Nothobranchius furzeri: one gene and its partners. The protein of the gene in region 2 purifies or fractionates together with the protein of the main gene of each other region. This does not show direct contact. Links are inferred from orthologs where the notes say so. Each region holds a gene or a part of one and is shown on either strand. Other genes may lie near its edges.

What was found.
Region 1: the proteins of tacc3 (region 2) and slain2 purify together in Homo sapiens (co-immunoprecipitation; 3 studies listed by BioGRID and IntAct, counting the BioPlex papers as one, with this or other methods). This does not show direct contact. The link is inferred for Nothobranchius furzeri from reciprocal best matches to the Homo sapiens genes TACC3 and SLAIN2.
Region 3: the proteins of tacc3 (region 2) and ckap5 purify together in Homo sapiens (co-immunoprecipitation; 5 studies listed by BioGRID and IntAct, with this or other methods). This does not show direct contact. The link is inferred for Nothobranchius furzeri from reciprocal best matches to the Homo sapiens genes TACC3 and CKAP5.
Region 4: the proteins of tacc3 (region 2) and enah purify together in Homo sapiens (co-immunoprecipitation; 3 studies listed by BioGRID and IntAct, with this or other methods). This does not show direct contact. The link is inferred for Nothobranchius furzeri from reciprocal best matches to the Homo sapiens genes TACC3 and ENAH.

The regions. Positions count from the first base shown.
Region 1 is NC_091748.1:39,297,176-39,305,566, forward strand, and holds the start of slain2 (SLAIN motif-containing protein 2), read left to right. Parts: upstream 1-3,140; 5' UTR 3,141-3,345; coding exon 3,346-3,815; intron 3,816-5,678; coding exon 5,679-5,821; intron 5,822-8,391.
Region 2 is NC_091758.1:31,358,981-31,366,340, reverse strand, and holds the end of tacc3 (transforming acidic coiled-coil-containing protein 3), read right to left. Parts: intron 6,294-7,360; 5' UTR 6,293-6,293; coding exon 6,128-6,292; intron 6,048-6,127; coding exon 5,920-6,047; intron 5,842-5,919; coding exon 5,804-5,841; intron 5,729-5,803; coding exon 4,657-5,728; intron 4,573-4,656; coding exon 4,530-4,572; intron 3,961-4,529; coding exon 3,810-3,960; intron 3,733-3,809; coding exon 3,674-3,732; intron 3,584-3,673; coding exon 3,453-3,583; intron 3,336-3,452; coding exon 3,248-3,335; intron 3,173-3,247; coding exon 3,047-3,172; intron 2,911-3,046; coding exon 2,843-2,910; intron 2,770-2,842; coding exon 2,726-2,769; intron 2,636-2,725; coding exon 2,475-2,635; intron 2,372-2,474; coding exon 2,265-2,371; intron 2,176-2,264; coding exon 2,055-2,175; intron 1,981-2,054; coding exon 1,915-1,980; 3' UTR 1,823-1,914; downstream 1-1,822. Other genes in the region: fibroblast growth factor receptor-like 1, read left to right, coding at 1-370. UniProt on the Homo sapiens protein: Plays a role in the microtubule-dependent coupling of the nucleus and the centrosome. Involved in the processes that regulate centrosome-mediated interkinetic nuclear migration (INM) of neural progenitors.
Region 3 is NC_091744.1:80,639,386-80,647,048, reverse strand, and holds part of ckap5 (cytoskeleton-associated protein 5), read right to left. Parts: intron 6,640-7,663; 5' UTR 6,599-6,639; coding exon 6,542-6,598; intron 5,905-6,541; coding exon 5,711-5,904; intron 5,581-5,710; coding exon 5,374-5,580; intron 5,284-5,373; coding exon 5,112-5,283; intron 5,035-5,111; coding exon 4,905-5,034; intron 4,842-4,904; coding exon 4,741-4,841; intron 4,531-4,740; coding exon 4,417-4,530; intron 4,245-4,416; coding exon 4,140-4,244; intron 4,047-4,139; coding exon 3,957-4,046; intron 824-3,956; coding exon 659-823; intron 223-658; coding exon 94-222; intron 18-93; coding exon 1-17. UniProt on the Homo sapiens protein: Binds to the plus end of microtubules and regulates microtubule dynamics and microtubule organization. Acts as a processive microtubule polymerase. Promotes cytoplasmic microtubule nucleation and elongation. Plays a major role in organizing spindle poles.
Region 4 is NC_091742.1:28,113,813-28,122,092, forward strand, and holds the start of enah (protein enabled homolog), read right to left. Parts: upstream 5,348-8,280; coding exon 5,088-5,347; intron 1-5,087. UniProt on the Homo sapiens protein: Ena/VASP proteins are actin-associated proteins involved in a range of processes dependent on cytoskeleton remodeling and cell polarity such as axon guidance and lamellipodial and filopodial dynamics in migrating cells.

The DNA of each region.
Region 1 (8,391 bases), on a different chromosome or scaffold from region 2:
ATTGAGAGTTCCTCAAGGATGTGTATTCGGCAGAGGTGTGGACTCGAGTCACATGATTTGGACTCAAGTCATTATTTTAATGACTTCTGACTTGACTTGATAAAATCTATAAAGACTTATGACTTGACTCGGACTTGAACACCAATGACTTGCAACTTGAATCGACTTATCTGTTGACTTGATGATGACTTGAGCATATTTGATATTTTAGCAGTAAAGTGCCACGACATGGACAAAAGTCTGGGTTTGATCTTGTACGGCTAACGGCAGCAGCTCTTTGTTAATAATCAGTTTCAGTTGCACTTTCTGCTTGTTTGAGCAAGTAAATTACGCTTTAAGAAGCTTTATTCTGGAATGTATTTATTATTGTCATTAAATTGAAGTTGGACAGATGACTTGGATTTGACTTGAACTTCCACATCATTGACTTTGAACTCGACTTGGACTTGACTGGAAAGACTTGTGACTTGCAAAGCAGTGTCTTGGTCACACCTCTAGACTCAGTCCTTTTTACTTTAGTGCGGTGACAGACTACTGCCTATGTCTATTCACTTCCACTGATTAAGTTATCTGAAGATACAACAGTGGTAGAACCAAGGCTGGATTATAATACGGGCAAACTGGGCACAGGCCCAGGGGGCCACAGCCACAAGGGGGCCCAGTCTTTTTTTTATTTTTTATGCAGCAGTTTTAACGTTGGAGAAAAAAGTTGACAAGTTATTAAACTTGCGCCCACATTTTCTAAGTTAAAACACATTTCTTTTAACAACAGTAGTTTTTGCATCTTTACTGCCTGCTTCAGCCCTCTCCCCCCTCCCCCTGCTTCAGCCCCCCTCCCCCTGCGCAGTGGCTGCAAACTCACTGATGCGCCTGCAGCCTCTCGGAGTTCCTGCTGCTCTAAACATTAAAATAATTATTTCATTTTCTGTTCCTCACTTCTGATGACCTTCAATGGTGTCTGTTTGTTGCAACCAGCAGGTACAAAAACTAACTTGTTTTTATTTGACTATTTTTCTGTCCTGTCTGTTTATTATCTTCCTGCAAGAAAAACTGCTACCTGGGTTCATATATATTCACCTTATGAGTTACCTTTGAACTGCAGTTCTAAAAGATCTACCGACCGCAAATATAGCGGACTGCGCGCCGGCCGCATCAGTGCAGAGAAGTCTCCGGAGGATGAAACGGGTGATGCGCTCGCTCCGCAGCAGCGAAGCGTATCAGACACAAATAAAAGACAGAAAGCATGAAAGGATATGAGCTGACACGAACAATCGCGTGTTACGTTTGTTTTTGAGGTGGCGACAATTTGATAATGTTACTGTGGCCGTGCTCAGGACACATCTGGAGCGCATCAACGATCAGAGCTCTGCGCCTCTCAGCTCTAAATAATCCCCAGAGAGTCCACATAAGTAATTTAATATAAGCAGTACCAGGATCGTTTTCGGGCTAAAAAAAAATAGTCTACAGTCCATCTTCCCTAATGTGTTTGTGGCCCTGTGGATTTTTCTAACTCTACCAGTTACAAATTGTAAAGGAGAACGATCATTTTCACTAATGGCAAGAATAAAAAATGAACTGAGAACAACACAAACTCAACAGCACCTCACTGTCACTGATGGCTATTGAATCTCAGCTTGTCAGGAATCTGGACTTTGATGACATTGTAAATGAATTTACTAATAGAAAGGCCAGAAAGCAGTTTTTTCTGAAGGCAAGAGGAGACCAACAAGAGGAGACAGGAGTCAAGAGGAGGAAGGAGACAGGAGATGAGAGGAGGGAAGAAACAGGAGGCAAGAGGAGGAAACAGGAGACAAGAGGAGGAAAGAGACAGGAGACAAGAGGAGGAAGGAAACAGGAGACAAGAGGAGGAAGGAGACAGGAGACGAGGAGGAAAGAGACAGGAGTCAAGAGGAGGAAGGAGACAGGAGATGAGAGGAGGGAAGAAACAGGAGGCAAGAGGAGGAAACAGGAGACAAAAGGAGGAAAGAGACAGGAGACAAGAGGAGGAAGGAAACAGGAGACAAGAGGAGGAAGGAGACAGGAGACGAGGAGGAAGGAAACAGGAGACAAACAAAAAACATGCAGATATTTCATCTTTGCAAACTTTTCAATAACTGTACAATCTTTTAAATAATCCTGCATTATTTTCTGTTGTAGTGTGACAGTGGGATCTGTTTTACAGCAGACTCACTCGCCCCCACTGTCCCACAGATTGACAACATTTTTGTTATTACAGACAGAAGAGAAGACAGGAACGCTGTGAGGAAGAGAGAGACAGAAAAAGAGGAGAAAAGAGAGGACAGAGGAAGAAAGACATATGAGTGAGGTACAACAGGAACATCATCAGGTATGAGTGTTTGTGATTAGGTTATAAAACTATTTTGACCTGGAGGTAAATGCTTTTGTATCAACAAGAGTAAGCGATTTTTAATATTGACAATGTTATGACATGTCTAAAAAGTGCTAATGGGTGACAGTAATGTTGGGGGAGGCCCGGTGGGGGCGGGGCGGGGTCCTAAGCACATTGTGCCCAGGGGACCCTGCAATGATAATCCGGCCCTGGGTAGAACTCAGTGAAGATAAAACATGCTGGAACAGTTATGTGTGCTGTGATGAGGACGGCAATGTTACCAAAACAAGCTGCATCACAAATCTGGTAAGGTAATTTGTCAGTGAAAGTGACAAAGACCTGTTAGACTGGCTTAAATGAGTATCATTGGAACTAAAATATATATATTTGAGAAAAAAGTCTGCTCATAAGCGACTTGGCCCCGTTCCACCTCGAAGGTAAATGCAAAACTTCAAGACTGTACGGCTGCTCCAAGACACTACCTTTGATCGGGACGAGAACCCCCTTATTTCATTTTATTATATATTTCTAATAAATACAAAGACAAACTTTTGAATGTATGAATATTTAAACTTGAAGGTTTCCTCTTGTTTAAATCGCACATTTATGTGTAATTACATTGTTTCTCTGGAGGAATGTGGTGTCTACCGTCTGTTTTCAGTGACCCTCCAACCCAGCTCACGTGATTGTAGGTGCGCGAGCAAATAGGTGTTGGTTACGTGCTCGCTCTCGATATTGAACGCAGTGACGTAGTTGTCCGCCGCCTGTTGGTCTTTCACAGTTGGTGACGAGTAGCGAATACGAAAATGGCCTCGACCCTTCCCGTAGACTCTAATATCCAGAGAAGATGACGGCGATAAGCTCGTTAAGTCGTTTAAACTCTAAACTGTCTTCTTGGAACACGTAGGAAAAGGAAAAGGAAGGGGCAAAAAGAGAGCCCCGGCCAAGAAAACGCTCCAAAGCACCGAATATTTCCGTCAGGCTGAGGATTCACCATGGAGGATATCAACTCTAATATCAACGCGGACTTGGAGGTGCGGAAGCTCCAGGACTTGGTGAAAAAACTCGAGCAGCAAAACGAACAGCTTCGGAGTCGGTCCACGTCGTTGCCTTCGTCCGGTGGACTGTCCGGGAACCACAGACCTCACAGCGCCGGCTACGACTCGTCCCTGTCAGCCAGTCTGGCCGGCTTCCCTGGGGTGGGGTTCGGCGGAACGGGCGGCTACGGGGGTCTGCTGGAGAACAGCCGCTGTTCGAGACCCAGGCTGTCTTATGACGGCATCAGCTTCATGAGGGCGTATGACTGCGAGGGGGCTTCTGCTGCCACCGCGGTGTCGATCATGAACTCACTTTACCCAGACAACGCCGGGGAGTTGACGGCTGAAGGGGAAACCTCTATCCTGGATGAAGTGGACATCTTAGATCTTGAAGACATGGATTGTCTGAACGAAGACGAGGACAGCTGGTGAGTGATGGGCTTGTTCTGGGAGGAAACTTGCCTGTTAGTGTCTCCAGGGCCAGATGTCAGCTGCTCCACACATTACCTCCACAGCACACGCCTGGCATAAGCAGTCGTCCCACCTTTGTTTTTAATCTGAAGTCATCCCACAGAAGGAGTCCCGTTAGGGACAACTAAAGTGTGTTTTTTGGCACTTAGCATGGGCGAGGCCATCCAAAGACTGGTTTTTCACCAACCATTGTCCCACCAGTCTGCATTTTTCTAGTCCACTTGCTGTTAATGATCAGCTGTTGGGAGTCAGGACCCGGAGGTGTTGTGATGTGGCAGACAGCTCAGCTTTCCTTGGGAGGGGTGGCAAGAAACCGGGCTTGTTTTCCTGCCCAGCAGCCATGTGGGAGAGTAGTCATGGTTTTCATTCCTCTGAATTCCCTTTAGCCCAGCAGTTGGCACACAGCTACAAGTGTTCTGCAGCACCGAGAGGGAAATGGTACTGAAGCAGGACGGTCATTAGGCTGGAATAGAAGCTCTGGCTGTGACATTAGGATCACTGCAAGCATTGGATTTGCAGAACAAATTGCCTTTATTTAAAGAAAGTGGGTCACATCAGGGTATGTTTTGGACTAAGATTCACCAACATGTTCAGCTTGTTATCACAAATAATCCCACTTTTCCATTCTTGAATTTCTCCCAGTGCATTGTGTTTATGTCAACTGGATTTCAAAATAACGATCCTTTTAAAAAAGCTTGTTTTTTCCAGGAGTGCTCATTTAAATAGTTTCTTCTGTGGTCAAGATCCTTAATGGCTATTCAATGCCCAGCCTTTGATGGAACGTATTCAAGTCAGTAATGCACCATAAGTTGTAAATATACTACAAAGTCCCTTTATTAATTATAACTAATTGGGTTTTTAATCAGTTCCCAGCTCCTGCGATCCTTGCAGCAGTGCGCCTGTGCCAGCTGCTTCTCTCCATGTCGGGATACTTTCAGATATTGCCCACTCATGCTTGGCAGAGGCCGTTTCATTTGGCCCAAGCTGTTTACTCTGCCTTTTGCATCAGATATGTGGGATTACCTCGTAGTGCCTTGATGTCGCCAGCTTCTGTCACAGACTCCCATAATCCCATGAATTAGCGAGGCTGGATTTAAAATGCACCCTGGCGCTCGTCGGTGGATGTTTGAGAGCCTTTTAACTTGTGACTGACTGTTAATGTGTTGGAAAACAAAGAAAATGTGTTCTCATGATGTCAGACTTGTATTTCCCTGCACGAGCTTTGCTTTCCCCGCAGCGTCTCCGCTTTCATCATGAAAGGCTTCCTCCTCGGCTTCCTCGGTGCTGACCAATGCTGACTCAGATTTCTCCTCTCAGTAGAAAGTCATCGTGTCTCCTCTCAGAAGCATCACCAAATATTTGCTTTACTTCTGTAACACACGGCATCAGTCCGTCCTGACGGCTCGTAGCCCTGCTTTGCTCTTTTTTGACCCCTTCGTCACTCAGTGGGTTTGGCACTTGAACTAACCGGACCTGACTAAGCATTAAAGTCAGTATTGACGTTTCTCCACTTGTACTCATTTTTTTCATTAATGTTTATTTTTTTAAATGCCGGCCTCTAGGTTTAAAATACGACTACCCTCTAGTTCTGTATGCTTTATTAAAACCAGTCTCAACCTGTCAGGGTTAGTTGGCATTAAAATAAATAAAATCAGTTGATTTTGATTATTTTAATTCTATTTTTTTACTGGAAGCGATTCTATTTAATGTGTCTTTAAAATTTGGTGAACATTTTTATTGTGTGAACTGGTGCCTTGAAAATGAACCAAACAGAACCAAAAACTGTGATCTGCTTCAAGTAATTGTTCGATTTCTTGCAGGTTATATGAAGCGAAACTCAACAGTCCCTTGCAAAAAGCCTTGAGTCCCATCGTATGGTGCCGCCAAACTCTGGACCATCCCAGTCCTGAGATCGAATCAGCCAAGCGCTCTCTCATCCACAGACTGGACCTCACCCTGTCAGGTAAACAGAGTTATCAATGTTTAATTAGCAGCATCATTAGCAGGAGTTGGTAGCATTTTAATAAGCTTGGGAGGCATTCATGTAGCAGAATTAGATCATTTAAATGGATACAGTTGGCCTTTTTATCTTCTACTTTCTCTGGGATTCTTGGTGCTTGAAGGCTTTTCAAAAGCATCACACGTCACTGGTAAAAAACATAAATGATGTGTTTTAAAAGCTGAGCTACATTTCTCACAGCTACCAGTAGGGTTTCTAATTTTATTCTTTACTTTAAGCATATTATTAGGGTGAAGACGAGTATTGGCAGTTCTCATAGCAGTGTGTGTGTTGATGCTTGCACTTATGGTGGTGCTAGCTTAAGTTTGTTGTATGTAAATAAACCTGGAAGGGTGTTTGTTGATTGGGAAGAGGCAGAGATTTTTGTGTCGGTTTACATAAAGCATTTCCTGGTTGTAAAAATGTAATAACGATAATTAAATACAAATAAAACTTTCAAATCTTCAACTCACGTTAAAATCACTACGCATCAGAGCTCCACGACGTTAGGAAAGCACGCAGCTGATATTTTAAACTACTACTACCCACTTGCTCTTTCAGAGAAACAATGGAATAAAACTTATTTTGGTCAAATTTAAGAAATGAGTTCACTCTACTTTGTAATATTTCTGTCCTCGCTCAGAGTCTGCTGCTAATACTGCACATTCTAGTTAAATATATCTATGTTATAGCCACTTTTGTGCTTGCTAGTGTCAACTCGCTGTAATGGCTGTCCTGAATCAGGTTTTCTCCTAAAGTAAATCAGTTGTAGATGTGCATCCAATAAAGACTGAGTCTGATTCAAATCTGTTCAATGGTTCATGGTATATTTAGCTAACACAGCAGAAATGGGCTGTTTAAAAGCACAGGAGTAAATTAAAGAAATGTCTTCTCATGTATGGTTTGCTTTCTCTGATGAAGAAGGGAAACAGAACTGTCTGATTCGCCTGGTGAATCATTACATGGCAAACACTGTAGTCCTGTGAGAACTTGGCAGATCAATGTCTGACAGATTGTCATGTGAAGTTACTGAAAAGCACCAGAGTTAGTTTAGCGTTCCCCAAATGCCCGTGAGATTAGCTGGTGTGTCTTAAATGATATTTATAGACTATTCAAACTGGAAAACTCAGAGCCTTTTATGTTGTCTGCTGTATCAAATCAATTCACTGGAATACCCCCAACACACACACACACACACACACACACACACACACACACACACACACACACACACGCACACACACACGCACGCGCATGCATGCATATCATTTATCTACCTGGCCTTCCCTGCTGTTTGGCTGAGCAGTCTCTACTTTGAGGTTTTGACTCCCACTAATTATAGTCGGTCCGTCCTCGCAGCTAAACTGAGATGGGCCGGTTCCATTTGGACTGGTATGTCCGTGTGACTGCTGGATCGTGTTGAGCAGTCTGCTGAAGGTGATCCGCTGGGGTAGACGTGATTTGTTTTGCAAGGACCAACACAAATGTCATTCACAAATAGTTTATTGGGTGGCACCTAGAATAATCCCTGTGGTCATGCAGTGAATATTTTTACTCTTATTCAGCATAAAAGATGCAAGTATTTGGTAATGTGTTGATATAAAATCACGTGCGTGTAAGCTATGAAGGCAGAGGTAAAAGTCACACTCATAACTCCATCTTGAATCCAGCTCTCACTGATGGAAACAAAGATCACATCTAACGTTTTATGTGCTAACATGCTTTTGGATTTATTTACTTTTTATGATCCACACATCTTAAGCACTTCATTCAGAGCCTATCTGAAAACCAGACACACCCATGTGGCTCCTCTCCCTCACACCCACTCTGAACAGAAGCATGGAAACGCTGTTGCCATGGCTTCAGTTTAACGTGTCACCAAAGAACCAGCAGAGACATTTTTTGTTGGGACTTTCTTGTGCAGCTATTGTTCGTCACATGTTTCAGGCCCAGCTGTCTTTGTGTGAGTATTGACCAAGCCCGTTGTCTCTGATCCCTGTTGCATAACCAACAGGAGACGCCTGGAAGTCGGTACCCTGAGTGTGCTTTACAAGTCAGACATGAGTTCAGCTTCATATCTAGATGAGTCTAAGTTACAGCGGCACAACTTTTCTTTTCTTCTGTTGATTTGTTTCAGGACAGGATCATTCAGTGTAGGGCTGCACGATATTAGGAAAACCTGCGATATTCGATAACAGTGATTAATATTGCGATGACGATATTACTTGCGATAAATAAAAACTTAACTCGGGAACAAAAATAATCGAAAACAAAGAAATAAAAAAGTCATAAAAATGAGAAATGCACAAGATGTGAGGAAAGGGAAAAAGAAAATGATCAAGGAAAGGTGATCGGTGATCCCGGGAAAAGCAGAATCAGCAGAACAAAGCTAACTCAGGTGTTTGCTAACCATTAAAGTTAAGTGCCGTCCACCTCGGGGGCGGGAATCTAACCTCCGAGAACCCACCCGATTGGCCAAATGGGTGAAGAGCTCTATTTGATTAGTTAAACGTCATGCTTCTGTTTGATTGACA
Region 2 (7,360 bases):
CTGGCCGGTCATCATCGGCGTTCCCGCTGGAATCGTCTTCATCTTCGCCACCGTGCTGCTGTGGTTCTGCCAGAACAGAAAGCATTGCCCACCTCCCAGCGCCCCGGCTGCACAAAGCTCCCACCGGCTCCGAGAGCGGGACAGGGCCCTCGCTGCGGCGTCGACCGGCTCCTCCAGCCCGGAGAAAGACTGCATGAGCTCCATGAACTATGAGGAGTACCTGGCCCAGCAGCAGCTCCTCCTTAGCAAGGGAGGACCATCAGCCCCGCCTAAAATATACCCCAAAATCTACACGGACATACACACACACACACACTCACACGTGGATGGGAAAGTACACCAGCATCAACACATTCATTTTCAGTGTTAGCGTCTCGGATGGACGTTGATTCTGAGGGACGTTCATGTGGAACCGATCTCCAGAAACTGTTGCGGGGAAAATGTGTGTGTGTGTGTGTGTGTGCGTGCAACGGACAGTGGCCAGTGTCTTTTTTCATAAAAACTTCCATGTTTGGTGCTTTTTTTTTTAAAAACAAGAAAACTTGTTGAAAGTTCACACCACTAAAACCCATTCATCCTTTTCATGCACTTGTTACGGTTTATTCGTTCAGGATGTGAGTTCAAACGGATCAGAGCGGAGAGGACGAGATCAAATAAATAAAAAACGGTACTAGAGGTCGATCAAAGGGCTGTTTTTATGCTCCTACTCAGGTTTTCCTCATGTTTAAAGCATTTTTCTGGTAATGCTGACCACTATGTTATTTTTCCATCCCACACGTATGTTCCTTTTTACAGGTGATATAAAATAGACTTGTAACTTGTTCATGGCGTGCAAACCTTGCCAAAGACTGCAAGGGATGGAAGGATTGTTTTTTTTTCTTCTTCAGATCAGTTCTCATCACTAGTTTTTACCGTCTCGAGGCAAACCAGCAGAAAGCAGTCTTTTTGACCATTAATGAAGTTGTAGTCAGAATATTTAATTTATTTTCATAAAAAAAGTATCAAAAGGTTTATTTTTCAGGCATTTAAAATTTCTGTAATTTTTCTTTTGTCCACCAGTTTGTTTGCATTTACTTCATGTTTCGTTATGTAATTTGACAATCTTGTATTTTGTTTAAAAAGAAGTTTGATTAAATGACCTGAAATAAGATTGATAGGATCAACAGTTGGACATTGTGTTTGGCTCATGTGTTTCTGAGTGCAGACAGAAGATGATTCGAGAGGTGAGCCATCCTGAAACAAAAGGCCTACACCCCCCACCACCTCCACACAGGAGCGCTTTCTTCTCTCCGAGCAGGTTGGAGTGTCTGAGGGTGACACAGAGGGCAACCAGCAGAGGGACACAAGTGGCCGGGACAAAAGCCTGAATAGATACCGAACAGACACAAGAACAGTCTCACTGTTGCTTTTTAGATGACTGATGTCCCCAGCCAGTCTACACCAAATGACCAGCATCTTTTCCCCAGTTAAGAGAATCGTCCCCCCCAATCCCTCTCTACCGTCGTTTCATTCAGCTCCAATCTAGGCAGGATTTCCTTTCACCATTTAGGAAGCACATTGTCCCACTCTGGGAGCGATGTGACAGGACCCTGTGATTGCTCAGAAAAGAAGAGGGGCTTTGTGTCAGATGAGCTCGTTTCACTGTAAGCACGAAGAAGAGCTCCGGCTCCAGACAGAAGCCTGTCGTGTCTGAATATCGAATAAGCAACACAGAAACACATGTTAAAGAATCACAGCGGTATTAATCCCATCTCAACACAGATCAATCCCCATAAAACCAAACACTGCCCCCTAGTGGTTGATGACATGAAAATAAAGCAAAAACTTTTAAAACTATCTTTATTTTTTTTTACAGTGTTAAAGAAACAATGACAAACATTACACAAAAAGATGATCTGGACACAAGCAATAAAATCAGCCCCTCTGGACTTTCGATATCAGCTCATCACACAGTTTGGTGAGCTCTTCAGCCTCTTTTTCCTAAAACACAAGAAAAAAATAAATACCTGCACACAGTAGCACATTTGATGACTTATTTAAAAATGTCCACTCACCTTCTGCTCCAGGCTCCTCTCCACAGACTGAAGCTTCAGTTGTTCCCGGCGCAGCTTAGCTTGAAGCACCGACAGCTCAGCTTTGTAATTAAACCGTACCTCTGCTATTTCTGTGTTCGCCCTGGAGGTGAGAAATACAATTATTCGCCTCGAGTACAAAGCCTTCACATGAGTAAAAACTAAATTAATTTACAGTTTTTCTTGTCCTACTTGGTAATTTTCTCCTCAGCGTGAGCTTTCAGGGCCTGGTATCGCTGCTCTTCCTTGTTGATTCTTGCCAAGTAGTCCTGGGCACAGGCTTTTAGAGTCTCTTCATTCTGGTTAAAAGACATTTTAATCCCTTTAGCTTTTCTGAAATCATTAAAATACTTTAGATATTGAGAAGTCCATCAGGAGCGTTTTGTCCTCCACTAAACTGACCTTTTTGTACCCCTCCACAACATCCTTGTATTTCTCCAGTCTTTTAAAAAGCTCAGCACAGTATTTCTCCATGGAGTTCAGATCGTTTGACACCTGCTCCTTCTCCAGCAACGTCTCCTTCAGCTTTGCCTCGGCCAGCTCTTTCTCCTTCTCTTGATCGGCTATTTTATGCCAAAAGAAACAAAAACGAGTACTTCCAACCACCGCTGAGTCATAAATCTGGATGTTTAGAGCAGGTGGCGTTAACTCACCCATCATTTTTGCAATCACAAGCTCATATTCAGCTAGTATTTTCCTGAGTGGGTGAAAAAACAAACAATGAATATCATCTAAAACAAAAACAGAAAATTAAAATCTAATCCACTCGCCTCATTTCCTGACCGTCATCCTGCAGCTTTTTACATTTACAACTCCACTGTTCCTCTTTCTCTCTTCCCTGTTTGAGAAGATGCACAAGTGAGTGGTGAATGAGGACCAACCACCTAGCTTTAGAAATGTTTTAAACAATTCTGTCCCAAAATGAAGCTCTACTTAAACTAGTGGACAAGAAGATCAAACTGTGAAGAACGCACCTCTGCCTGCACTTTGGCGATAGCGGCATCCATGTCCTTCTGACTGTATTTTAGCATTTCAATAATAACGTCTTCGGAGTTCCCAGGCTGAGGGAAAGGAGGGATGATGCTTCCAAAGATCGGAGCCTAGAAACACAGATGGTCATGGTCAAACAACCCGCCAGGAGTTACAGCGAATCCTGATCGGGAATAGAGACTCACTGGAGCTGTTGCGTCCTCAAACAGCTTGAGGCTGTCCTTTATTGGAGCTTTAGTTGTTTCTTTCTCTGTAACCTGAGGAATCTGAAGCCTGAAGAAAACAAAACCTTAAGTGATGTTTTTTTTAATATTTCAAACAAAAAGGATCTGCTGAAGCATTCAGGGACAGCAGCAGTCAGAGTGAATGAAAACAGAAGTGTGTTATTACTGTGAGGCCAAGGCCGCGGGAACAGCGACGTGCGTCTGAGCGGACGGGCCTGCAGACTTTTTGGGGCTCTCCCTCAGGAGGGGATCAAATTTTAGGTACAAAGATTGCTTTCGAAGGGCAGACTCCTTAAACTGTAGATTGAAAAGAAAACATTTAAATACCTTTAGGTCATGAACTAACTATCAAAATATCCGGTTACCGTACGCGTCGTTAGCACTTACACTGCTGGACCCAAACTGCTCAAGGTAGTCGATCTGCCCGTCAAAGCCACCGGCCACGACTGGTAATGTAAATCAGACCGAACTAATCAAGCACAGATCAAACTAATAAAGTGATGTGAATTCCAGGTTTACTCACACATAGTTCCAGGAACAAACTCCTCACTGAACTCGGTGTCCATCTGTAGCTGCTGATCGGGCTGAGGCGGCTCAGGAGCGTTCTGCACGGGGTCGTCACTCTCAAGTGGAATTTCCTGGTCATGAGCGGAGGTAGCCTTGTGATCAGCGATCTGACGGTTAGGAGGGTGATATTTTTGTGTGTGAGAAAAACACGAGCTAAATAGGAACTTAAACTGAATACAGGGTGTCTGCAGGTTTAAGGGAGCCAAATTTAAGACTTTTTAAGACCTTTTTTTAAGGCCACTTTGACCAAATTTAAGCTATTTTTAGAATTAAATTTAAGCTATAATTTCCAGCTATTGCCTGGAACCGATGCCAACCACATCGCGAACGTGGGATTAGCCATCCAGTTACCATTAAACGTCCCCATGGCGCAAGCTCCCACTAGCTTAACCAGCTAATGTGCCCATCTAAAACTAGCTCCCTTTCACAACCAACTGAATGTGTATGGTTCCGCTTCGCGAACATTATACACAACAATGCTGAACACTAACTAGAAATTCACGAAATTTTTATCGAAATAAAAGAATCTTGTTTATTGGGCCTTTGGTAATTTAAGACCTTTGGAAACTGTATTAAAGGATTATTTGTCATTTTTAAGGATTTTTAAGGCCTTAAATTTTGAAAAGCAAATTTAAGACTTTAAGGACCCGCAGATACCCTGTGAATAATAGCTTACATCTTCATGGTTGGGCTCAGCTGTTGGTAAGCTCTCACCAGAGCTGCAAGGAGCAAAAACATTTACGATCAAAACTTTGATGCTGGAATGTGAAGAAAAATAAAGACAGAAACTCAGTTTTACTCACCTCTGGGAAGACCCATCTTCCTTTTTGTCAGTTTGCTCGGGAAGGTCTGCTTCCTTGAGCACAACTGCGGGTTGGCCACTGCCCTTTGGAGAATTCGTGATTCTTGCTTTAGCGCCAAAAGGATTGAAGTACGGGTCATCCAAGTCCAGAGAGTAGGAACCTTTAGGAACTGGATCATCAGTGACATCACTCACAGGCTTCATGGGAGCTTCTGCTGATGCTTTAACATCAGAAGTCGACTTTTCGTCTTTAGGTTTTACAACAGAAGGTCTTTTGCCGAACCTTTTGGGTGGTGGCTTTCGTTTGACTTCGCTGCAGTCTCCGAAAGAGAACTCAAGTTTGACGGAGTGCTCATTGACTGGAGGGTCCGCAGGCTCGGACTCAGCTGCTGGAGGCTTGGCTGCATCAGCGGGTGTTGGGTTCACCGTAGAAATGGACTTCACATCCTGGGCAGGTGACTCTTGGGCTACCATAGGAACTTCAAACACGCCCATAGATATCTTTTCTTCTGTAGGTGGATTACTGTTTGGTACTTTTCTCTCTAAATCAGGTGAATTTGGAATTTTAGAGCCTCCAGTCTGGAATGGATTAATTTCATCAAGGTTGTCAAAATCCATGTTGTAAGCTCCTTTTACTGGAAGTGGAGAATCTTCCACAAAACTGCCAGATGTCTTCTCTTGATCGGACAAACTAGCAGGCTGTTTTTCATCAGGCGTGTCTGTGCATGGACCTTCCTCTACTGGGACCTTCACGGTCACCGTGACCACACTGCTGTCTGTGGAGCTCATGTTGGTGGAAACATCTGCATAAGAATTTTCCACAGATGGCGTGAATGGAAGCGTGTCGTCTAGAGCGGGTGTCATGTCAGTTGGCTTATTTTGAATATTCTCTGGTGACATGTGCTGCTGAGGCTTGGGGTCATCTGTAAGAGTCTCAACAGCGGGCCTCCCAGGGGTCACGGCCATCTTGTTAGAACTCTGAAATGGATTGATGGCATCAAGATTGTCAAAATCCAACTGGTAGCCGCCTTTGCTTTGTATCGGCATGTTGTCGTCGGGATAGGATGACATCTCTGTGAAAAGGGTTAAAAGAGTTTGAGTTGGATTGTTTACATCAAGCTGTAAAAAAATAATATGGGATGAGTTACCTTGACGGGGTGGCTCAATCTGCTCCTGTGTTAAAGTACTGAAAAAAAACTGGTGTTATTTCAAAGCACAAGCAATTGAAACTTAAAAACATGTAGGAAGTATATGACTTATTTACTCTGGCTTATCCAAATCCAAGGACACTGTTGCTTTATTATTCTCATCCACACTTAACATGTTGACAGATTTCCTGGGAGACAGGATTCTTTTAGTCAACGGGTCTCTTCTTGGTGTCTGAAAACAAACCTAAACATAACATTGTAATTAGTAAATACAGATCAAGTTACATAAATGACTGAATCTGTCAGAACTAAAAGGTTTTGCACCTTTGCCCCTTTTGGCACAGTCCTGTTGGGAAGGTTCTCCGTCTGACGCAGGATAGATTGCCTCCCGGTTGGCTGTTCCAGGGCAAATACATCTAGACTAGAATCGTTGTGCTTTCCTGCTGGGATGACCCCACAATTCTCATCATTTATGTCGACAGAACTCATTCTGTAAAAGAGGAGAAACTAACTAAAATTACAGGGCAGGGACAGATTAGTTACACTCTGGTGGGAAGGGGCCATGCTGAAAGCTGTCCTCGGTTGATAAGACTTCTACTCAGTTCAGCAATTCATGTGACCTTAGGGAAAAAAAAATACATAATTTGTTCAGGAATCGAGGCACATGTGACTGCACTCCACTGACTTGTGGACTGAGGTCAGTAAATCTGTGGTACATATTTTCATTTTTTTGGTTAATATAACTAAATATTTTGTCAGAAAGTTGTCTAATATTTAGATTTTGCCCCAATCAGGGCAACTTTTAGTTGAAAACTAATCAACTGCAGCTGAAAACAAAGCAGTGGCACAACAAGACCACAAGATGGCACTGATGATCACATTAATCTGTAGTCAAAAATGTTAATCAGAAAAAAAACTCTCCTACAGTCTCTGTAGAAAACACATAGGTTTATGGAAATTCAAAAAGGTGTTTAATCTACTTTTCATATCCTGGGCAAATTTTGTCAAATTTTCAATCCATGAGGAAAGTTAGGAATAAACTCAAAATTTGTTTTCCTCCAGACTTTTCCCCAATTATACCATATAAACCACCAGTATGATTCTCTCTCTCTCACACACACACACACACAACGAATATGAGATGACAAACTGCGTTGTGGCTCAACAGAAGAAGTAGAAGAAAAATCATTTCTATACAGAGAGAACAATTTAATCATAAAGTTCTTACTTGGTGTAAAAGTTAACCAGTAGACTATTTTATGAACGGTTACCTACAGCGCTAAATCAAAAATCGGCACCCAATCGTGACCATTATTTAATAAACTTCGTTTTTATAGCCTACATTGTTATTTTGTTTGTTTAATTGTAAAGCACGTCGTAATTCTAATCTTGAAATGTGCCATATAAATATTATTTATTTGCTAAATTTAGGGGAAAGAGCCCAGTGTTTAGCATAGTTAGCAATCGGTAAGCTAACGGTCAGAGACGGAAAACAAAAGCTCAACTTCACTTTTAAACACGGAAAAGATCCAAAAAGAGAACATTCGCACTACCCGT
Region 3 (7,663 bases), on a different chromosome or scaffold from region 2:
TCAGCACACTCTTTAATCTGTAGGAAAACAAGTAGCCTTGGTTAGCAGCCGAAGGCAGGACACAGCGCTGAGCTTTTCCTCGGCAGAGCTCACCTTATCCAGTTTGAGTTTATCCAGGTCCGAAAGGAACGGGTTCACGGCTTTCTCCCCCACCACCTTCATGGCTGTTCCCAGAGCTTCAAAAGCAGCATCCCGAACCTCCGAGGCAGAGTCGTTCACTTGCTGGGGGGTTAAAGTAGAAATGATGGACATTAAAGAGCAACTCACCCCCAAATAAACTTTTTTTTCTGATAAACTATATAAATGTGTGTTTAATCATGCTGCAAACACGTGCAGTGAATAGTTTTGCACTTTAGTGCATTTTTGTTCAAATTATAATTTTCTGCCTAAAACAGTGTTTTGCCGTTGTCAGGTAAAAACTCTGCACTGCAGTTGAATTTAAATATGCCATCGCTATTGGCTAAGAGGTACCCTAGAACGTTAGCTGGCACCATATGATGTCACAATGTCGTTGTGAGCCTGTGTGTGTGTGTGTATTTGTTAGCGGCTCCGCCCTCTCTGTCTGGTGGGCAACAGCATTTGTTGCATTTTTCAAACAGGAAGCAGGAATTTTTAAATTTCTTTCCAGGGTTTGGCCCTCGCTCTAGATCTCCGGTACCTTAATGAGAGCAGCACACAACGGCTTGAGGACGCTCTTGGGCAGCGTGGCTGGGGTGCAGAGTCGGAAAGACCGAGCCAAAAATAAAGAGGCCTGCTGTTTGATGGACGGGTTTTTATTGTCCATCACAGCCAAGACGTCCTCCGACAGGTTCTGGAGCGTTGTCTGGGAAACAAAAGATATGAAGGGAAAAGACCTTTTAGGATTCCATAAGGAACACATCAGGGTCAGTAATCAGATTACACAGGATGAGCTTTTACATATTCAACGTAAACAAAGAGTCCAGAAAACGACCCGGTCCTGCTTGGTGCCCGAGTCGTTAAAAAGTCCAACTAAGTCCTTCCACAAATAAACCACATCAAAGCTAAAGCAGGAGGTGTGTGCGTGCGTGCGTGTGTGTCATCATCTCAAGGCTCTCAAAGGTAACAGGAAGGCGTCGGACCTTTGAATCCGGACACCAGAACAGAGGAGACTGTTGTGCTGGTAAAGTCGTCTGATGTCCTTCGGGCTTGCCATAGTTGTATGAGAACATGCAGGAGTTTATGGGGGTTGGGGTTTTTATTCTATATAAAACACAACAAGCACGATTTCTGGACCGTCCTGGTGTGCAGTAGGGCTGCAACAACGAATCGATGAATTCGATGAAAATCGATTACTAAAAGCGTTGGCAACGAATTGAGTCATCGATTCGTTGTGTTGCGCAACTCTTCCAAAAGTCCCCTCCCCTCCCGCCCGCCGTTGCGCGCAGACCGGTGGAGAGCCGGCAGGTGTTTGTAAGAGGAACATGGCAGAAGCAGCGAGACCCCAAAAAAGTAAAAACTTCTAAAGTTTGGGAGCATTTTCAGTTAAATCAGGCGAAGACATGCAACGTTTGTAGGTCAGACTTAGCATGGCACAGGGATACTACGGAGATGATGCAGAGTCTTAAACGCAAGCATGTCAGAATCATCAGCGAGGAAGGAGAGAGCTCGGTGTCCGGGTAAGTTAAAAACTTTTACAAAGTGATTCACCCAAGCCCCAGATTATTACACAGGCTAGATATGCCCTAAGCTCGTAAAAAAAGTCTATAAAATTGTAAGCGTGACGCCATTTGATAGTCGGGGGGGGGGGGGGGGGACTCGCGCCGCTGCGAACCGGTTCCGCCGTCACATTCCCGCAGAAACTGGTTGATCACACCAGGGCCAGACTACTAGCATGTGGCTTTACAACCACAATGTCCTCAGAAGCGAAAACGCTTTTAAAAGGGAGGGAGGAGTCCTAACTGTTGCTGCAGGCGTGTTGTGTGAGAGTGCAGTTATATACTGGTTAATATATTTTTGGGTTCAGTTGCTTTCATGTGGCCTAATGTGAGTCTATTTGGGATCATTGGAATGATCAGCAGCATTTCTTGATGTGACTTTATGGCAGTTGCCCAGGGCATCATGGCAAGGAGGATGGCATTCATTTACTTTTGTTTTATTTGGTATTTTTCAGTCATTTTTGGAAATAGTGATTAATTTTGATTAATTCACAGCCTATGTTTAATTACATTTAAAAATTAGTTGTTTGACACCCCCAATTATAATAAATGTCTACAGATGAGATCAAACAAAACAGAGAATTGCCCTTATAAGCAAGTCACCCCCAAATAAACTTTTTTTTGCTGATAAACTAAATAAACGAGTGTCTAATCGTGCTGCAGACACGTGTCATCAATAATTTGGCACTTCAGTGCATCTTAGTTAAAATTTAAATATTCTGCCTAAAACTGGCATTGTTGTGCCGTTGTCAGGTAAAAACTCTGCACTGTATTTTAATTTAAATCTGCCACCGCTATTGGCTAAGAAGTATGCTATGATGTAAACTGGTACATTATGATGTCACAATGCTGTCGTGAGCCTGAGTGTGTGTGTATTTGTTAGCGGCTCCGCCCTCTCGGTCTGCCAGGCAACAGCATGTGTTGCATTTTTCAAACATGAAGCGGGAGTGGAGTTAGACTCTGGTAGGGGTTGACTTGCTCTTTAAGCTGTTTAATTTGGACCAAGCATTTTAGGTCACAGATAGTTGTAGCTTAGGGTCTCTGTCTATACGCCTTATAAGACAATTTAGGTGATGGCATGTTGTTTTTCTGCTATTGAACTGTTTTCTAATAATGTTGTGTTTAATAAAGTGAAGGAAGGAGAAAAATAACGTTTCCCTAGCAGTTTTTAAAAATGTCCCTATGTAATCCGATTAATCGATTAATCGTGTCGAGACCCCATCCGATTAATCGATTATCCAAATAATCATTTGTTGCAGCCCTAGTGTGCAGTGAAAGGTGAGGACACGTACAGACGTCTTGGCGCATGCGCCGAGTGAGCGGTTCTGGGACATCTTAGTTGTGGTGCTGCTTCAACAGCGCGATAGCTTCATGAGGGATGACCAGAATATCACGCATGTCTGATTCTAACTAACCCCCGGTACACAACGCAAAACCCGGCCCAACCTCAAAGATCATCACACCAGCAGCTCAGAATGGGCAGAAAAATCACAGTTTATGTCCAGATTCTAATACACCAGAGGTTCCGACAAGTTTATCCTTATGTTTTCTTAAAGTAAAAATTTTATCCAGTTTTAACAAATGAAAATTTGAGAGAAAAACTTTTACTCTAAGATTTAACCTTCCCACTGTCCTAATGGGTGTGACCCCATGAAGAAAATTGACCATTGAGCAGGGTTGATGGTTTATCCCTTGGATCCACGTTAGAGGTGTGAATCTTCACTTGTCTCCCGATTCGATTATGATTATTGGGTCAACGATTCAATTCGATATCCCGATGCATCACGATTATTTCATATGGATTTGTTTTCATCAATAAATAGAAGATGTCAGATAATTGCTTTTTATTTTTTTTAATCAAAAAAATCCCAGAGGCTGCTTCCAGACTTTGGTTGTGGTCAGAAACAAACACACTGGTAGTGCTGCAAGTCTTTTTCTTTTTTTCTCCAAAACGTGTTTTTGTTTAAATGAAGGTGATGTTGTTGTTCATAAAATTAAAATTCATGTTTAAGTTAAGATTGTTTCATCAAGTAGGACCTGTGGTTAGCTGGCTCATGTAAAATATGTCATGTCTTGAAAGAATCGGAATCGGGAATCGATAGGAACCGGAATCGAAATGAGGAATGGGAATTGGAATCTGAATCGTTCAAAATCAAACAATGCCCAACCCTAGCCACGCCCCAGTTAGGCCGATTCTGATGTAGCAATGACTTCATTTCCACAGTTCTGACTTTAGAACCATCCAAAGTTAACTAAATGATAATAAATGAGCCGTTTTACCGTGAGGAAGATGGCGTCGATGGCCTCCTGCAGGGCCTGGACTACCTGAAGCTTTTTCTCCTTGAACTTCTCCAGAATGGTTGGAACCACCTAAGGAGAAGGTTCTGTGAGAACTGCTGTGGTCCGCTACCATCTCCATTCAGGTTTCATGTTTGAGTAACTTCAGAGCTGTGACCCACTCACCTGTCCTGCATACGTTCCAAACTTCTTCCTGAGCCCAGTAGCCAATCCAGCCAGACATTTAGCCGCCAAGGACACCAGCATCACGTTAGCATCTTTCCCCACAACCTGAACCAGGACAAAGTCACAGCATCCCATCATCCGACACCATCTAGGACAACTGAACCACCTAACCCAGCGGTGGAGCTCAGAGATGAGCCAATGCTGATAAAACCTCATGAATACAGCAAAGCAAAGCCCCGGGCTGCAGGTTCTACCTCCTCAGGGCTGGAGACTTTACCTTCTTCAAGGCTCGAACAAGGTCTCCATAGTCTCCGTTCTCCAGTTTAGGGTTCTTAGCTAGAACCTCCACAGCCTCCAGAGCTTCTTTCCTCTCCTGCCACTTCTTTGCTTCCTGCAGAGAGAGGAGGAGAGAATAATGAGCGGCTATCCCCATTGCCCTGACACAGGACATGTTGGTAGAAGATGTTGGGCACCAAGCCACCTGGTTGGCACCAACTCACTGGAAGGTAAAGATCCCCTGAAGCCCGTTGTGACCATCTATTGCTGTGAAGCATCAGATTTAAACAATCCCCATGGCTGATTTATGAAAACACAAACTTACGATCTTCTCATAGAAGTCTTTAGGGACCTTGGACAGAATCTCCACCGGTTCCAGGAGCTCATAAGCATCCACAGCTGCAGCCGTATCCTCCTCATCCTCTCCTGGAGGAAGAACAGAGTTAGTAGAGTGTTACCAAACAGCTGATCCCACCCAGTCTCACCCACCATCAGATGGCTCTCCTTGTGCTTGTTGTTGCTCAAACTTTGCTTTGAGGTCCTGCTGGGAGCGTAGGAACCTGGTCTGCTTTGGGGGGGCTGGAGGTAGCTTCACCCACTCCTCCTCCAGCTCCTTCAGCTGCAGGAATAGAGCAGACATCATTTTACCTGTTTAAGTTACCGACAGTGAAGCTGAGGCTCCGTTTGATGACGTACCTGAACAGAGTTGATGTTCTGCAGCGAAGGTCTCAGAGCATCTCGGATCCACCTGTAGATCTCCACAGCCAGCAGCTTGGCTTCATCTCTCACAGCCTTCTCTCTGGACTCAAACTGTTTGGGTAAAACCTTCACCACTGGCTTCAGCAGCACTATCTTTGACCCAAACTCACTGTGAGAAGAGGACAGATGTAGACACTGAAGCTGTAACTTCACAGGTAAGCTGACCCGTTACCAGGTCAGAACCAGAGCCAGTACCGACCTCAGAGCCTTGCGGAGCGTCTCGATGCAGGACACCACTATCTTTGGGTTCTTGTTGTCCAGCCCCTTCAGCAGCTCGTCCTGGACGACCTCAGCCTTCTCGATCTCGATGTACGTGAGGCAGATGTCCATTCCCAGCTCTTTGGCTCGGGCCTTGGGCTGGTTGAACACTTTGGTCACAACACCCGACACCACCTCGCCCGTCGTCCTGCAGCAGAGACAACGTCAGATTAGCACAGGCCTCTACTTTATAAGTGATGAAAACCATCAGAGGTCATCAGATAAAGCTGTCTGCAGCTGCACCACCGAGGGGTGCAGGACATGTCGTCACCACTTACTTGCCAGCCACATGTGCGTTGTCTACGAAGGCCAGAGCAGCTTCCAGGCCTTTGAGCTGAGCCACAGCGTTGGAGTCGGTGACAAACTTCTTTATCAGGCCCAGATACTTCCCCCATTCTGGACTCTTCTCGTCTTGTATCCTCTGGAACAACTTCAGAGCTTCTTCATAACCGTTCAGTCGGGCTTTCCACACCTGTGGGAGACAGCGGTGAGGAACAGAGACGTCTGACACTCATGGAGACATCCTCCTTTAAATAAAACAGATCTGAGGCTAAGGGATGGTTTTCCCAGCTCTTCTAGTGACAGAGGAGCAGATGAGGTCTCTGGACTGAACTTCCTCTAGCTCCCTGGCTGAGTGGAGAGAAGGCAGCTCTAGTGCAACAATCATCATAAAGGCTGTGAAACATTTAAATTCCTCCACCCATCAGACAAGTTCGACCCCAACAGCCAACAACTAAATTATAATCAGTTTCTGTCATTTATCTTTGCTAATGTTGATTAGCTTAAAGCTAGGATGGCGTTACAGCATTCAGACATGAATGCTGGGATTACGGGGTTCTCCGAGACTGGATTAGGTTAATCCTGAATGTAAAACCACGTAGGGATCTAAACAAACACAGTAAGCACATCTGAGGGAAGCTAATCTGACAAAGAGCAGAGCAGCTGAATCCAGTTTCGGTCCAGTGTTCCTGCTTCATGTCAAATGTGTAACAGCTTTGGGTTCAGATCTGTTTATTACAGCTGGCCTGGTTAACCAGGACACCCAGAGCTGCTGGACATCACTATTAATCTCTGATTTGGGACTCTAAAGGAAACTTGACTTTGGTCACCTTATGTTCACATTTCTGGTCGACAGGAAGCTTCATCCACTCACTATCGTCCCCCATGGCGTCTGGTCGGGGGCTGGGCTTCCCCAAACGTTACTCAGCTAGAAGAGAAAATTAAATAAGCTCATCAGGGACACTCAGGTCAGGTTTGTTGCTGCTGATCTCCGATGGCAAAAACATGGATGGACATTTCTATGTAGTTATAATGAGCGCTACGGACATGATCTGGGAATAAAGGAAGAAAAACATCACCTAAAAAGGCCGGGATTCATTTAGACAAAAAGAGGTTTTTTTACTTTTTAAATGAGACTTTCAACACAGTCTGTGTTTGTTTCTTAGCCTCCAAGGTTTAGAGCTGAAGGAGCCTATTGGATGAGAAGTGAAACATCTTGTAGATAACCAGAGAAGTCCAGCTGTTTTCAGTGAAATCTCAGGATGAAGGAGAGTCCACACCAACGTGCTGAAACTCAGAGCAGCAACACTTCAGGAAGACTTAAACCAGGGTATCTGCAGGTTTAAGGGAGCCAAATTTAAGACTTTTTAAGACCTTTTTTAAGACCACTTTGACCAAATTTAAGCTAATTTTTGAAATTTCTGCTATAATTTCCAGCTATTGCCTGGAACAGGTGTTAACCACGTCGCGAACGTATGATTAGCCATCCATATACCATTAAACTTGCACTTGCCCATGGCGCAAGCTCCCACTAGCTTAACCAGCTAATGTGCTCATCTAAAAATAGCCCCCTCTCACAACCAACTGAATGTGTACGGTTCCGCTTACACCAACATCATACACAAAAATGCTCATCACTAACTAGAAATTCACAAAAATTTCATAGAAATAAAATAATTTAGTTTATTGGGTCTTTGGTTATTTAAGACCTTTGGAAACTGTATTTAAGAATTATTTGTCATTTTTAAGGATTTTCAAGGCCTTAAATTTGGAAAAGTAAATTTAAGACTTTAAGACTTTTCAAGGATACCCTGTTAAACGTAGCTGCTGTCAGGAACAATCGAACCGATTTCAAACATTAAAGCTCTAAACTGACTAAAGAGTGTAGAAAAGCAACAAATCTCACAACTTTGTGTTGTTGTGAGATTTGTGGGATTTATTATTGTTGTAAG
Region 4 (8,280 bases), on a different chromosome or scaffold from region 2:
TGCTTCGGGTTGAACTGGCCTGACATACCCAGTGCCGACTGATTGGCTGGCTAAAACTCACGCCTACCATTAGGGGGGGGTCTCCGATTGGCGGACAGCATCAGTCAGCGCGGGCTTCCGCGTGCACGGTTCGTTATCATTCTGGATGCTGTGAAGGAAGCATTGCCTCTGACTGAAGCAGCCTCTTACTGAGTTGTGAGGATCACACAAACACACACACACACACACACACACACACACACACACAGAACGGCTGAGGATTAAGCTGTGCAAAGCGAGGACAGACAGCAGAGTCAGAAGTCTCCAGCAGCACCACTGGTCACAGCCACTTTGTTTAACTTAAGGGAGACGCCACGGACGTGTCCGCACGTCTTTTGCCCTGCTCACGTGCTCGGGAGATTTCCTGAAAAGTGTGTGTGAACAAATCCCACCGGTGCTGAACCCAGACCGAGGCAACCCAGCCTGGTCCAGGTCAGATGTGGAAGTGGAAATAGTCCCTCTAGTGTGTCTTTCTTTAGGGAACGTAAGGTGGGGCATCGTTTAATACTGAACGATTCCGATTCCTCGTTTCGATTCCGGTTCCTATCGATTCCCGATTCCGATTCTTTCCAGACATGACATGTTTTACATGAGCCAGCTAACCACAGGTCCTACTGGATGAAATAATCTTAACTTCAACATGAATTTTAACTCTATGAACAACAACATCACCTTCATTTAGACACAAACATGTTTTGGAGACAAAAAGAAAAAGACTTGCAGCACAACCAGTGTGTTTGTTTCTGACCACAACCAAAGTCTGGAAGCAGCCTCTGGGATGAGAGGCTAAACGTCTCCAACACATCCAGTAACGTCCAGCTGTTTTCAGCTGAAACTCTCAGGATGATCATGTCCAGGATGACTGAGAACTACACCTCCATGCTGCAGCAGCGTTCAGTCCCAACAGGAAGTGAAACTTAAACGTAGCTGCTGTCAGTAACAAGCTAACAGGTTTTAAAACCCTAACCCATGACAAGAATTGGTGACTGTGGTCATTCGCAACCCTGAGTCGCGCTACCTTAATAGAGATAAGAGGGTAACATGAGGATTGGTTCAGGTGGAGGGAAAAAAGGCACTTCAGAGTTACCCTCCATAGGGAGGGCAGCTTTGCTCTGCACAGAAACACCTCAGGACAGATATGCAACAGACTTCAGACAACCCAACATAAGTGTCCACTAGGTGGGGTGGTGGGGTTGGGACTATCCCCACTTCAGTTCCTGCAGCCACGATAAGCAGCACATGTCACCTCAGTGCAGTGACTCCTTCGGCCTTCACAGCCAGAAGTCCCGCCCAGGCTGGGACAGGAGACAGAGTTGCCATGGCAACGGCATTCCACGTTTCTTCTGAAGGGCACCAGTCAGTCGCCCTCTGCTGCCCACAGATAAACGGAGAAGGAAGTGATGCTGCCAACAGCGGTGAGCTCTGAGGAACACCGCAGTGGTGGCCGACACTTCAGCAACAAAAGGTACAACAACTCTTATTCCTGTGTTAAAAGATGGCCTGTTGACTTCTGTTTGGATAACTCTCAATCTCTTGTAGGGGTGGCTTTCAAACTGAAAACTACCCAGATCTCCTGTAGGTCCAGTTGTATCCAACAACAAGACAACGTCTTCCCTGCTTTGGGTTCTGGCATCTATTGGCCTTTCATTTGCCAAATTTCCACTGATTTCCCTCTTTCCTATTCACTCTCTCTCTTTCTTAACATTTTTTTAATAACAGTTGTCTATTTTTTGCTCATTTTAAATATATTTTTAAACATTTTCTAAATTCTTTTTTATATTTTTACATTTTTTGTTTTTGTGAAGCGCCTCGTGATTTTTATCTTGAGAGGCGCTACAGAAATGATATTTTCTTCTTCTTCTTCTAATTGGTAGCCTGGCCTGCCAGACTCATCCTCTGTTTAATTATACACAGAGAACTAGTCTCGTTAGTGACAGACAGAGAGGCACATGAGGGGCGGGACTAGGCGGCTCAAAAATAGACGCAAATGCAGACCGTAGTTTTTTAGCTGTAGTGTGCTTTTAGAGCTTCTTGTTGTGGTTTTAAAAGGAACCCAGGTTACAAAACTCTGGTTCTTCAAAGATAAACGTTAGTTATATTAAAGTAGTGTAAAAAACCTTCTTAATGTCTTCATTTTTATAAAATTTGTAAAAAATAGTTTAACGTGTAGGTCACCATTGTTGTTAGCCGTGAGTTAGTCGCGTCAATACCGGCAGGAAGTCGAACCAAATCAGATGAGGCAGGCTGGTAAATTTTACTAAATAAAACAAAATTTTCAAAATAAAACACCGTGACTGATAAATAGAGAGATGAAAATGAACAAACACAAACACACACACACTCCTGCGGAGAAACAAAGTGTTTTCATAAATTTAAACGCAGTTTGTAAAAGCTGGATTGTACCACAGACACGAGTTCTTTACTTAACCATTTAGAACGAAACTGGTCTACAAAACAGCAGCAGGATCAGCGCAGTTTCTGATGTCAACAACCGGGGCTAACTGGTTACACACACACACACACACAAACGCACACACACACACACACACACACACACACACACAAACGCACGGCAAGGGCATGAGGGTGGGGTCTGTAAAACAGTAGGTGTGAGCAGAAGCGCTCGTTGAAAATTCTTGCCTGATGTGAACAGAGGAGGAGTGGACGGCGCACAAATTTCACTTCGCCGCACGTTGCATCTGGTGTGTTCCCGGCATAAGTCTCCTCCCTTTCCGGTCGGCAAGTCAACGGGGCTAAAAGAGCGCTTTTCTAATCCGCTTTGCTTCACGCCCTGGGTCACACATATGTTGTACTGCAATTTAAATTTAAATTAACGATGGGTGTTTCGACCGCGCTTGTCATGTGCTTAGAGATTTATTAGCTTGTAAAAGTCCGTAATCAGCATGACTACAAATCAGACATCGGCACGTCACCACAGAGTCTCCTCCCCCCTAGCGTAGCTGCTACTTACCACGTGACCAGATTTATGGTGGCTCTTTCCCCCGGAAGGAAGGATTTGAAGTTTGATGAACTTACAGCCATTTTCCACATTTTTCTCCATGTCTGGTTCGATGACGTCACTTTCGCGACGCGCATTTGTAGTCCTGGACTTGTTTTCAAACAAAACCTAAGCTAGCGCTTCCCCCGTGCGAAAAATAACGATCAAAAAGCTTCTTTAAAATTCACGGACATCGTGTGTGAAATCCATGGCACGTAAGAAGCGGAATTAGAAAATAGCGTTTTTAGCCCCGTTGACTTGCCTTCATTTTTTCGTTCTTCCAGGGACCCGTGGTCTGGAAATAGATGGGCGTGACTTAGGCTCCCTGTGCATGTTTCCGTGATTAGAAACACTACTACTTATGGTTTTGTAGTCTGTTGGCACTTTCTCTATGTTTAATTGTTTAATTCTACTCTGTGGGCTGGCTCTGCAGTTTTGTGACTTCACTGTGAACTGGGACTGTTGGAGGCAAACTGGGAATTAATGGAGAACAGCGATTTGCTTTGTTGATGTCCGAAGGGAAAGCCGAAGTGAAATTAGCCTGTTTGAAGGCAGCAAATCATGGAGCTGTGTCCTTCCCGGCTTGTTGAATGCCCAGTATTAGGCGTGGACAATATATCGGCATCATTATCGGTATCGGCCGATGTTAGTCATTTTTTTACGTATCGGTTCGATAAATAAAACCGGGTCAATACTAACACCGATACTTTTTCCATCTCGTCTCCATTTGTTTGCCTGTTTCAGAGGGTGAGAGGGGTGATGTGTATTTGTATAGTCATGTGACAGTGAATGTAAATGTGTGTGGTGTGTGTACTTAATAACGTAAATTCAGCTTGAATAATTTTCATTCTATACAAAATCTGCTCATTTTAGAAACATTAATGTCAGCATATCGGTATCGGCAAATATTGGTTATCGGCCTTAACAGTGAGATTAATATCAGATATTGGTATCGCCCCCAAAATTTCATATCGGTGCATCACTAACTTCACCTTTAGGACAAACTACCAGAGTCCCAAAAAGAAAATCACCATTTGAAGTCACGGACGGACAACTAAAGATGTTTAGTCAACTGTTTATATGTTTATATGTTTATTTACTTTTGATATTTATGACAATGTTGATTTTTTTTTGTAATGAATTAATGGGTAGGCTTTAATAAGTTTAACTTCAGCCTATACCTTTTCGCTCATAAATAATATCTAAAGAAACTGTTTAATTTATAAGAGGAATTTGTACCTGTGATAATTATTATTATGTTCTTTATTAGATAATTATTTTCCTTTTCATGTGTTTTATATGTATTTGTTATGATGGAAATAAATGAATGAATGAATGAAAAAAAAAAGACAGCGACTGGTAATTAACGCAATATTGTTTCCTCTGACAATGTCCAGTTTCGCCAAAAGTGTCCTAGGGAAAATACTCGTGGGGACGGGTGAGTGGTCAGTGACCGTGTTCAAAACCTAGCTTGTTTGCAGATTTGCCATTACAGCTTTAAGTGAGCAAGTATCTAATCAATAAATCCTTTACTCTTAGTTTTTATCGAGGGGGACGTTGTGTAGACCTGCTGGTTCCCCAGGTTCCTGCTACATGTGCTGCTCTTCTATAGCAGGAGCCACTTTTCTGACGTTCCAGTAAACAGCGTGAAGAATCGAACACCTGCCTGTTTACACTACTGTCGCAGCTGGAGGGAGCCGAGTGGACTGGGATCACCGAAACTTCACAAACAACTGCGACCATCTGTCAGAGTCTCCTGCCCCGTGGTGGACCTTCTGGTATTTGAAGATTAGCAGAAGCTGAGACAGGTAAAGAAAAGAAGCATCCCTTTGATCTAACAGAACCAACATGCTCTCTCGTTTCATGGGGGGGGGGGGGGGGGGGTGACAGAATGTAAATCTGCGAACAGAAATCCTGTCAGGAACACTGAGATTTCACCAGAATACAGAACCTCATCAGAAGCAAAAACCCAGGAGGCTTAAAGGTCCCTGAAAGGATGAAGGCAGGACCGGGTGTTGAACTGAACCGCATGGTGACGGTAGGTACGTACCGGTGAATTTCCATTTTGGAAGCCAGAACACATCTTTGGCTGAGAATGATGTTGGAGGCTTTAGACTGTGGACCGGAGGACTGGACCTGCATGGCTCTGCTTGTTATTATCCCATCAGTTGTCAAAAACATCTTCTGCCCCCTCTCCTTCTCTAGAGATTGCCTTTCTTCGTTGTCTGGGTGAGGGCGTTGGTAAAACCCCCCACACACTCCCAGCCTCCTGTCGACACGTTGATCCAGGAGAATCCCGTTATTTTCCATGTGCCAGCAGGTTGGACAGCCGGTGGACGTGTTGAGATGTCATCAGAGAGCTGTGTTGTTAGCTTCTCCTTGCCGTAGCAACAGCGGAGGTCTCCAGGCAACAGGCTCTACGTGACAATGGCCACAGCTGGACCGCTCAGCCCAAAAACACAGAGATGCTGCAGAACCTCAGCGGGAGCACGCTGGTTCCTCTGATACCTCCGCCTGCTGCGACAGAACCCTCACATCCACTTCTGCCTCCTCCCCTTCCTCCTCTCGCAGCTTTAATCTGTGTGCTTCCCCACATGACGGACTGCCTCCACTCGCCCAGCTCCATTCTGTCCTCCTCTATCGCTCTCTAGAATAAACCGGGATGAAAAGCATGGCAGTGTTCGATGTTTCTGACGGTCTCATGTCCTGAGAGGAGGGACTGTGTCAGATACACACTGCAGACCCCACCGGACCTGAGGATGGTGTCTGTGTGATGGTGCTGATCTGTCCCAGCCATCTCCTGAAGCTCCACGAGGGAGAGACACGCACGGACAGAGACGTTTTTCTCTCGGACTTCGTCTCCTGGGGAGTGTTGCAAAGCAATTCCCCGTCAGGACAACAGAGGGCGTAGCGCTGTTCCGGCATATCCTGTCATGTATCTGGTCCAAGTAGGGCTGCTCAAGTAATCGAATTTTAATCACGATTACGATCGGATTTTTGAACGATTATAAAAAACAAAACAAGCAGATTATTTGCTCCTCCCACTTGCGCTGCCCTGAGTTGCAAATGAAGCGCTCCTCCCACAGTGTTGCCAACTTAGCGACTTTGACGCTATTTCTAGCAGCTTCTCAGACCCCCTTCTTGACTTTTTAAATCTTAAAAGTACCTAGCGAACACCTCAGAAACATCTCTGGTAACCCTTAGCTACTTTCTGGATAACTGTCGTCGACATTTCCTGCAGGTTAGCTAAACACTCCGCCTGCGCTCTGGACCGTTCTTCAGGACATTAGGAAAGGGAATGATGTAGTGATGTGTCCGTCGCTAAAGACAGCTCTCAGAGCCGGCTCCATGTTGGAGTAACCAGAGTGAGTGACACACACACCGCACCTGCGGACTCCTGAGCCGCTAAAAAAGGCTAAATGTGCGGCGTGCTAAACACGTGCAGCTTGCCCCCGATTGCTGTGAGACCGGGTTGGGGGGTGCAGCTGTGGTTGGGACAATTATTACATTAACTGATGGACGACTTGTAAATAAATAGTTTATAAATAAGGTAGAAATAAGTTCCTCACGCTGATAACTAATAACTAATCTCTCTGAGGACACGGTGCTAGTGCACTCTCCTACAGCACCTTGACACGACTCAATAAATGTTATGCAACATTTAGTGAACATCAGTTTATTTGCATGTATTTGTTATGAATGCCACTGTATAATTCTTGCTGTCAGTATTTGCAAGATATTGGTATTTGGGTCTGTACTGGTTAGACTTAAATGAGTTAAACCAAGGTCTGTAGCCCTTGGGTCATAGACTATGAGCTGTAAGTATACTGGTCTTTTTATACTGGGAATCAGGAGTTCTTTTAGTGATCATCTTGTTTCTTATTTCTTTTTGTCCTGATTGTGCCCTGAGCAATTTTATGACTGAATAAAAACAAATAAAAATCAACATAAATTGAAAAATCGTCCTAAATAATCGTGATCTCACTTTCATTCACAATAATCGTGATTATTGTTTTTGCCTTAATCGAGCAGCCCTAGGTCCAAGATGGTGCATCTACTATCGTGTTTATATTATGGGTTTTAACACGGACAAATTTGTCCCTCACTCTCCTCCACCTCTTCTGGGCCATTCCCATCTGTACCGGGTCGGCCCGGGCCGGGTAGCGTAGGTTGTTTACATATCTGGGTGGCCTGGTATTTTTCCGGGCCAACCAAGGCTCATTCTCAGCCCTCTTCTCGAGGGGGTCTGCTTCAGGCCGACCAGCGCCAACACACCCACTGCTGACAGCAAATTCACACCTTCCATTAGAGCAGGCCTCTGATTGGTGGGTAGAATCAGCCCACATGGGCTTAAGACAAGGATGTGTGGAATCAACCGGGCCAGGCTGGGGCCGACTGGGGCTACCCGGCCCGGGCCGACCCGGTACAGATGGGAATGGCCCATTTGTGTGCTCGCCACCTCTGAACCCACGTTTCCCGTTATTTGCTTCCATGAATAAGACGCTTGCTGCGTATTCTTTCACTTCTCCGGTGAATAAAACGTTCATTTTTTTAGAGTTGTCTTCAAGCTTCTCCGTGTCTGCCGCTAGATATCCTCGGCTCTCTTTATATTTTTGAGGGTGGAATGGCGATGCCGTCGATGACAGCGGCGTCCTGACCAATCACAAGCTTGCGTTCTCCGTCTCTTTGGACGGATGTTTGGAAAAGAGAGCTTGACTGTGTCCGTACTTGCGAGCGTGCTAGAGAGCCCTCAAAAGGGCGAATAATGGCGTCGCATGCATCCGTCCCGACGCAGACAGAGAAGTCTAAATTAGGCTTTAAACCGTTTCCATGGAAACCTCCACACACTTACATTAATTATTACAAGATGCGTGTCATCATGAGCATAATAGTGTATGTGCTGAATCCCCTACCGAGTGAATAAATGAACACATTAATTGTGTTTGAGTCTGTCTTCTGTTATTCCTCCCGTCTAGTTATTTTTCAGGAGCAATACTTGGTGGAAGCAGGAGCTACAGATGGCCTGTCGGTGGGTTGCCTATTGCCATAAATAACGCTCAAATCTCTTCTAAAGCCTAAAAAGGCCCCAGACAGCGTGCAGTAATGAGACGGCTCTGTGCACACCCTAAGGGCGCCCAGGCCTGGTCCTGCAGGACCGCTATCCAACGTTCTCACGGGCACATGTGAGAGAAAGTACCTACATATGACAGGGCCTGATGAAGGCATCTGTACTGGTCATGTTA